Elephas maximus indicus: one gene and its partner. The protein of the gene in region 2 interacts with the protein of the main gene of each other region in a pairwise test. Links are inferred from orthologs where the notes say so. Each region holds a gene or a part of one and is shown on either strand. Other genes may lie near its edges. The genes, in order: NUP58 and ABI3.

Region 1 (3,915 bases), on a different chromosome or scaffold from region 2:
TTTATACTATAGTTTAAATATATTTCCCTTTCATTTCTGTTTTATCATGTGACCTTCATAATGTTTAAAATGGTGTTTATCTATTTTTAATTCTACAAACAGAAGTGGGAGTGCCCAGTCTCAACCGGAGAAAGTGTTGCATTCACGGCAATTGTGAGAGAGGAGGTTGTACAGCTGGGTCGTGTTGAGAACTTTGCGTATTAGACTAAGGAGCCACTGGGAGTTTCTGATCAAGCGACTGCCATGGTGGCAATTATATTTTAGAAGAACAAATATGGTGGTTGCTAATGGGACGGATTTTATGGAAAGAGAATTTAGGTAGGAAAACCATTTGAGGAGGCGAAGGTAACAATTCGCGATGGAAAAAGAGACCCACATTATGACGGCGGAACCTCTATTGTACTATTGCTGAAGACTTCCCTGATCTTTCCCACAGAGGAGATATCTTCTTGGAACCCACAGTTTTCTGACGTTGGTCACGTAACTCTTAAATTTTACCTTACGTCATACTTGTCTGTATAGTGTTTTTCTCCTTTGCAGCTGTATAGGCCCTTTAGTAGGTAGCACAGAGGATATCGAAGCGGCGTCCCGGTTGGCTCTAGCTCCTACTATGCTGACACTACTGGTTGACTTGGCTAAACCATGAGCTACAGGGCCTTGGACAGTCCGTTTCCTCAGCACCACGAACAGAGCCAGCGCCCACACCTCCATCGGGCCGGTCCTAAGCCCTGTTGGTGACTGCCGTGTCCGACTATACGAAACGGTCCGCGCAAGCTATTGAGCAGAGTTGAAGCTCAGTGCGTTGAAGGGATGGGTGAATTATGATTTCCGAAATCGCTGACAGCGGTCAGCCAGTTCGCGGCCTTTGTCTCTGTAAAAGGAGGGACTTGGAGATGCTCTTTAGCGCCCTTCCCAACTCCGGAATTCTGCACATCCAGTAGGGAGGACATAAGCAATAATTGAGACGCCAAACTACAAAGTACAGACTGAGTCAGCACAGATACCAAAATAGAAGAACTAAATAAAAAATAGAAATGATTATTGGCTTTTAGTTTTTACTGTGGGCGCCTGCCCCTTTAAGGAAGTCGGTCGCGCGCTGTCCCAGCGTCCCTTGCGACGCGGGCTCGCTCCCGGCAGTGCGTGCGAGCGGCGAGCGACGCAACGGGCTGGTGCGTGCGTTGCTCCACCCCTTCGGCCTTGTCTTGGCCGCCGTTGGGGTGAGGTTCCCGCCAGGTTGGAGCTGGCGTGAGAGATGTCCTCCGCTCCGCCGCGGCGGTGAGGCGTGAGGAGCGGTCCCGACTCTTCCGGGTTGCCAACGGCCCCGGGCCCAGGGTGCAGCCATGTCCGGCGGCTTTTCCTTCGGAACCGGGACCCTGGGCTCCACCACCGTGGCCGCCGGCGGGACCGGCACGGCGGGCGGCTTCTCCTTCGGGACAGGGGCGGCTAGGTAACCGCGTGTACTCGTTTTTCGGGCCCGGGTCTTCGCCGGCGGGTTTCCCTGTTGGTCCCGACCCTCTCTTCCCGGTGGCTTCCTTCCCTGTGGGCTTACAGATATGCGCTTGCCGGGCCACCCGCTCGGTAGGCCGCCCGCTCGCGGTCCAGCCCGAGCCGTGCCCCGGCCTGGCAGGGAGGAGGGCGGACGGTCTGTGAGGTCTCCAGGATCGCGGGTGGTTCAGGCTTTGTTCCGACCGAGCGGGGCCTGGCTGGTTGACAGGGCCTGGGGTTCACAGCCCAGAGCCTTAACGAGGCGTCAGTCTTCAGGCATGGGATGAAGGTTGAATGAATGAATGAAATTACGGTTTATTGTAGGGTTTGACATGAAGATCTTTAACGAATGGAAATTGGTAAGGAGAACAATTAAAAGCGTCTTTCCGATAATTCAGATTCCACTGCAGTGTTACGGTTTTGGATGTTACGGTGCTTTAATGATTTCGTGGTTATTTTTAGCGAGCTTTTTAAGTTTTTTTTTTTTTTAAGGCTTTTTGCAGTATTTATTGGTGATAATTTTGTACGGTATGTGGGGAAATTGGAATATTTGACTAACAGTATCACGGCCTGTCACGTTTCATCATTGAGAACAATTTTCTCTCGATCACCAACGTATTGTAATTTCCCACATTGCCTTTCACTTAAATTGCAAAGCGTAGGTGACATATTCAGCGTTTTCTTGCAACCTGCGAGGACAGGTGTGACAAAAAGACAACTAGCAGAGGTTCGCAAAGATACAATTAAAACGGTGAAAGATGATTTTATGATGAGAGATTTAGCCCGTAGGCCTCAATCTTTTGAAGGTAGAGGCAGAGGAGTGCATAAAATGAAGTATGCATAGCATGAGCTACAAGATAACTCCTGGAGCTTGAAGGATGTGGTTGTAGGTTAAAAAGGCAAAAATATTTTGGGTTACGTGTATTTAAGGAGGGGGGAGTGCACCCCAGACTACACAGCCAAGATTAGAAATCTGGGGGTTTTCCTCTTTTTCTGGCACTCTATGCACTTAACCAGCAAGTCCTGGTGATTTTACTTCTGTGATTTCCGTTTTTTGTGCATTGCCAATGCCACCGTCCTGCTCCACGGTGTTGCATTCATAGAACAAATACTTACTGAACAAATTTCTATGAGCCAGGCTTTGTTTTAGGTGGTGAGATGAATAAGATTCTTGCTCTACTTAAGATTCCTGCCAGCTTTCCAACCAGCAACCTTTTTTTTTGCTAGATGAAAACTGCACCTGTATCTCCTGCATCAGCCTTTTTGCCACATGTAGCCAGAGATTTTCATTTTAAATGCGCTTTGCTACCTTTCTGTGATTTTCCATTACCCTTAAAATGAAATTAAATTTTCTTTTTCTTTTTTTTTTTTTACCATAGTCTACGAGGCCTGAATAATCTGGAATCCCTTTACTCATCTTGAACCCATCTTCTCATTTTAGTTTGCTCCCATTCATTGATCCAGGACCACTGTAAAAAAATAACATTTACATTACCACCCTGCTGGTATATACTGAGAAAGTGCTTGATGTCCAAAACCTCTTTATTGAGTAAAAGAATGATTAATATCTATTTTTTACTAACTGGAAACTTCCTGAGGGCAGGGTCTAATCTTATTTACCACTCCATCCTCAGTTCTCATGATGGTGTCTAACATATGAAAAGAGGTTTAATAAATACTTGTCAAATGCCTAAATAAATGAATTATTTGGTAATAAACTAGAAAAATCTACACAGGCTTTAAAAGGATTTGAATAAATTAATGACAGAAGACCTCTGCCCGTTAGAGTGCTAGATTGGAGACCTGACAGCTCCTGGTGCCGCTTGGTGATTTTGTCTCTTTCGGTAAGTCATTTTGGGTGACTTACTCTCCTGGCCTCAGTTCCCACACCTGGAAAAGGTGTATAATAACATACTTAACCTCAGAGGGTTTTTGAATGAGATAAAGCATGTAAAGTATCTAGCATCATGTACGTGCATCTTGGTAAACCAAGAAAACCAGACCCGTTGCAGTGGAGTCGGTACCAACTCATAGTGACCCTATAGGACAGAGTAGAACTGCGCCATAGGGTTTTCAAGGAGTGGCTGGTGGATTCGAACTGTCCACCTTTTGGTTAGCAGCGAAACTTAACCACTATGCCACCAGGGCTCTGCATCTTGGTAAGTGTTCAGTAAATGTTAGCTACTGCTTTTACTTCTAAGTCCACAGTTAATGTACTCTAAACTGAAAACCCAAACCTACTGCCGTTGAGTTGATTCAGACTCATAGTGACCCTATGAGTAAAACTGCCCCATGGGGTTTCTGAGGCTGTATTTGTTATACAAGCAGACTATCACCTCTTTCTCCTGCAGAGCAGCTGGTGGGTTTGAATCACCAGCCTTTTGGTTAGCAGCCAAGCACTTTAACCACTGTGCCACTAGGACTCCTTTA
Region 2 (3,915 bases):
TGCCATTTATCCTACCTTTCTTAAGGGGCAGGCACTGGGCTAGATGCTTTAATACATTATCACAATTAATCCAAGTAATCATTCCTTGAGGAAGGTTGTAAGAGAGATGGGCAACTTGCCACAGGTCTTGTATTTGGTAGATGGCAAAACTGGAAATTGGACTCAGGTCTTTGTAACCCCAAACCCTGCGTGCCACGCTATGTGTGCAGATGAGAGCAAATCCAGACACCTTGAGATTTGCAGAAGGTATTGAAGAATGGAACCAAACCATAAACCAAACCAGGTGCCATAGAGTTGACTTGACTCCTCACGACCCTTGTGTGTGTCTGAATAGAACTGTGCTCCGTTGGGTTTTCAGTGGGTGATTTTTCAGAAGTAGATTGCTAGGCCTTTCTTCCCAGGTTCCACTGGATGGACTGAAACCTCCAACCTTTGTATTGAGCATGTTAACCATTTGCACCACCCAGGGACTATGAAGGAATGGAAGGGACTGCTTTTATCCTTTTGACAGTAGGAGCATATCTTTCCAGGGCCGTGAGAACAGAGCTGGTGTGTAAGCTATGTTCCATCTCATCTACAAGGTGGTCACTCACTGTCTACACAGACCAGAATTATACCCAGGGTAGCATTTTCAGCCAGAGATTTGGCGGGTGGGCTCTGGAGTTGGATTTCTGGGTTTGAAACCAGGCTGTGCCACTGTCTTGGAGACCTTGGGAAAGTGACTTGGTCTTTGTAAACCTCAGCTTCCTCATTTGAGAAATGGGACGGTATTACCTCCCAGGACTGGGGTGAGGACTGACTGAGGCAGTAGAGGGAATGTTGCTTGTCCCAAAGCAAGGGCACAGAGCATTGTAAATGTTATTCTGATTGGCTCTATTTAATCTGCCATTTTCTTGCTCTTTTTTTTTTTTTCAACATGTACTGTGTTGGGAGGTCCCTGTGCCTCTTGTCACAGTTGGGTTAGTCCAGGCTAGAAAAATGAAATTTTGTCCAAGTGGTAGGTGGCACAAACACGTAAGCACTCAGAGACACCTCGGAAGAGAGGCCTGGCAATCTGCTTCTGAAAAGTCACAGCCTCAAAAAATCCTATGGAGTATGGTTCTACTGTGCAACACATGGGGTCGCCATGAGTTAGAAATGACGGCAACTTTTTTTTTTGTAACAGGTTATGCCTGTAACACTTAAGAGAGCAGAGGAAACTGAGGACAGAGAGGGCAAATAACTGTCTTAAAGCCATACAGCATGTCAGGGAAAGGGCTAGACTTCAGAAATCAGGGAGCCTGGGCTGATGCCCACTCTGTGCTTCCACACTGTGTGACTTTGGACAGGTCACCTCACCTCCCTGAGCTGCTCTTTCCTCATCTATAAAATCGGAATAACATTACTTGTCTCACTAGGTAGTTATAAAGGCCAATGAAATAACAGAGTCGCTCAATAATAGATCCAGGAATCTACATTCTCAGTCCTGGGACAACCACACAATTTTAAAAAACTGTTCTAAAATGTCACATCCTCATCTTTTGCTGGTAGCCTGCTCCAGAAGTCATGTTGTCCATTCCCCTGCCTCTGTGTCAGCCCTCTTTACCCTAGCCTAGTCTGACATCTCTTAACTTTCCCTCAAGATATCAGGGAAAGAACTCCAGTCCTCTTTTCCCTTGTCCATCTCAAGTTCACTACAATGGTTGGGAAGTTCTTCCAAAGTATCTCCTACAGCCAGCCTGAAAATGGAATGATGGTGCCACAGGTTCTCTGGGTTTGAGTGGGAGGGTGGGAGGGTAAGAGGGAGATAAGCCTCAATGAAGCTGGATACCAGGATGGAATAGCTCTGGCCCTGGCATCTCTGAGGCTCTGGGAAGGAGAAGGGACACAGCAGGGGTTTTGGGTGGCATGGGTCAGGGTTAGAGTTTTGGGAGAAGGGATGATGCCAAAGCCTGGCTTGGGAGGTTTCTCAGCCCAAGCCCAGCACATCTGCTGAGCCCTCTCCGGCACCTGTCAAGCTGGCTCCCATGGCCCAGCCCTGGGGGTGGGCCCTGGGGCACCTCCCAGGGCTGGGGTGCCCACACCTGTGCTTGCCCCACGTACCTGAACATAGTTGTCCTCGCAGTAATCGGCAACCCGCAGCAGAGTGCTGTAGTTGCCCCGCAGAGCCTCTCGCCCCATGGGGATCTCAAACTCCTGCAGCTGCTGCAGCTCCGCCATGGCCCCCAGCCTCTGGCTGCTCCCCGGGGAGCCCGCTGGTTTTGAGCTTCACCCTGCCCTTGATTGGTTGCTTCGTCTCCCCTCCCTCTTACTGCTTTTGGTTTCCTCTGTGTGAGAGACCCAAACCTGCTTGCAAAGGGCAGGGAGGCTCATTCCGGGACAAGAGGAAGTCAGTCCCTACTCCCTGGGCCTGGGCTTCTCTGTCCCCTGCCCAGAGGAAAGGGGAAGCCAGGGACCCCTTTGGGGGCCCAGCCTCCCAATTCTTCCCAGCAGAGGAAACCAAGGCCAGGGCAGCTGTGATTGCTCCCAGGTCCTGGAGAGGAAACTGGATGCTGGGGGGATGGGGTGGGGAACTGAGGAGGAAGGGGCTGACCTACTATGGGGGGTGGAGCTGGATTTTCCACTCAGGGAAGGGGGAGGAAGGGCAGAGGGTGGGAGCTTCCTTGGGAAGCTCCAGGATGATTCACCACGGGAGGGGGTAGTGGAGGGTGGATAGGATATGGAGACTGGTCATGCTGGTGGGGGACTTGGAGTGGCGGTGCCCCACCAGTGGAAAACAATGATGCAGCAGCAAGAGGAATCAGGGTTGGACACAGGAAGGACACACCAAGAGATTCCCTGAGAAGTGTTATCAAGCCTCTGAAGAGTTGTCCATTTGATTCCAGCTCATAGCGGACAGAGTAGAACTGTCCTGTAGGGTTTCCTAGGCTATAATCTTTACAAAAGCAGATCAGGAGGGGAGGGTTTGGGGGACAAGGCAGGAGGAGGGGAGCCTGGAGAGCTGGAGGGTGGGGTTTGGGGAAATGAGAATGGTGGGAGCTCTGGGTTCCTGGGTGGTATAAGCAGTTTGCACCTGGCTACTAACCAAACGGTTGGCGGTTCGAACCTACCCAGCAGTGCCATGGGAGAAAGATTATAGCTTAGGAAACTCTATGAAGCAATTCTACTCTATGACACATGAGGTCACCATGAGTTGGAATCGACTAGATGGCAACGGGTTGGGGGTTCTGAACCAGGGACATCATTGAAGGCAATGGTGGCTGATGCAGGGGGCAGGGTGATAAGAAGGTGGGCTAGAGTCAGAGAGATCGGAGGTGGCCTCTCTTTCCCAGCTTACAGTGGGAAGAACCTCAACATCTCTGCTCCAGTGGCAGGGAGGGCTTGGAGGCTCAGGTGATGGCTGGGCTTAGAATCTTGAGCCTCTGATCAGCTTAGGCATCAGAGCTTTTGGCTTCCAGACCATCTGCTTTATCCGAAGATTTTCTGCTGCTGAGGAAGAGCTAGGAAGCTCAAACACCATCTTGTCTGGGTCCAGCACAAGTGAACTTGGAAGCGTACTCTCTTTCCTGGCAGGTGAGAGGGGCTGAGGTTGCACTGGGCTGGGATCTAGTCTTAGAATTCTTGAGGTTAGGCCCTAGGCAGGCCGTAGTGATAACTCTGTAGTAATAATGATATCAGTAATAATAATGATAAATGTATTAAGTGTGCATTATGTTCCAGGTAGTGAATTAAAATAGCTATATGCATTATATTTTCTGGTGTTCACAATAATCATGTGATAGGTGCTATTACTGTATTATACCCATTTTGCAGATGGGGAAACTAAGTAAGACTCAAGAAGGTTGAGGGACTTGCCTATGGCCACACAGCCAGGAGGCAGCAGAGCTGAGGTCAGAACTGGAGTCTGGTAGGTTTCAGAGCCCATTCTCTTAAGCA

What was found.
Region 1: the proteins of ABI3 (region 2) and NUP58 interact in binary tests that used the Homo sapiens proteins (3 or more experiments, as listed by UniProt). The two-hybrid records come from large-scale screens. The link is inferred for Elephas maximus indicus from reciprocal best matches to the Homo sapiens genes ABI3 and NUP58.

What each region holds. Positions count from the first base shown.
Region 1 is NC_064841.1:56,588,595-56,592,509, forward strand, and holds the start of NUP58 (nucleoporin p58/p45), read left to right. Parts: upstream 1-1,153; 5' UTR 1,154-1,340; coding exon 1,341-1,447; intron 1,448-3,915. UniProt on the Homo sapiens protein: Component of the nuclear pore complex, a complex required for the trafficking across the nuclear membrane.
Region 2 is NC_064837.1:44,355,169-44,359,083, forward strand, and holds the start of ABI3 (ABI gene family member 3), read right to left. Parts: upstream 2,375-3,915; 5' UTR 2,200-2,374; coding exon 2,083-2,199; intron 1-2,082. UniProt on the Homo sapiens protein: May inhibit tumor metastasis. In vitro, reduces cell motility.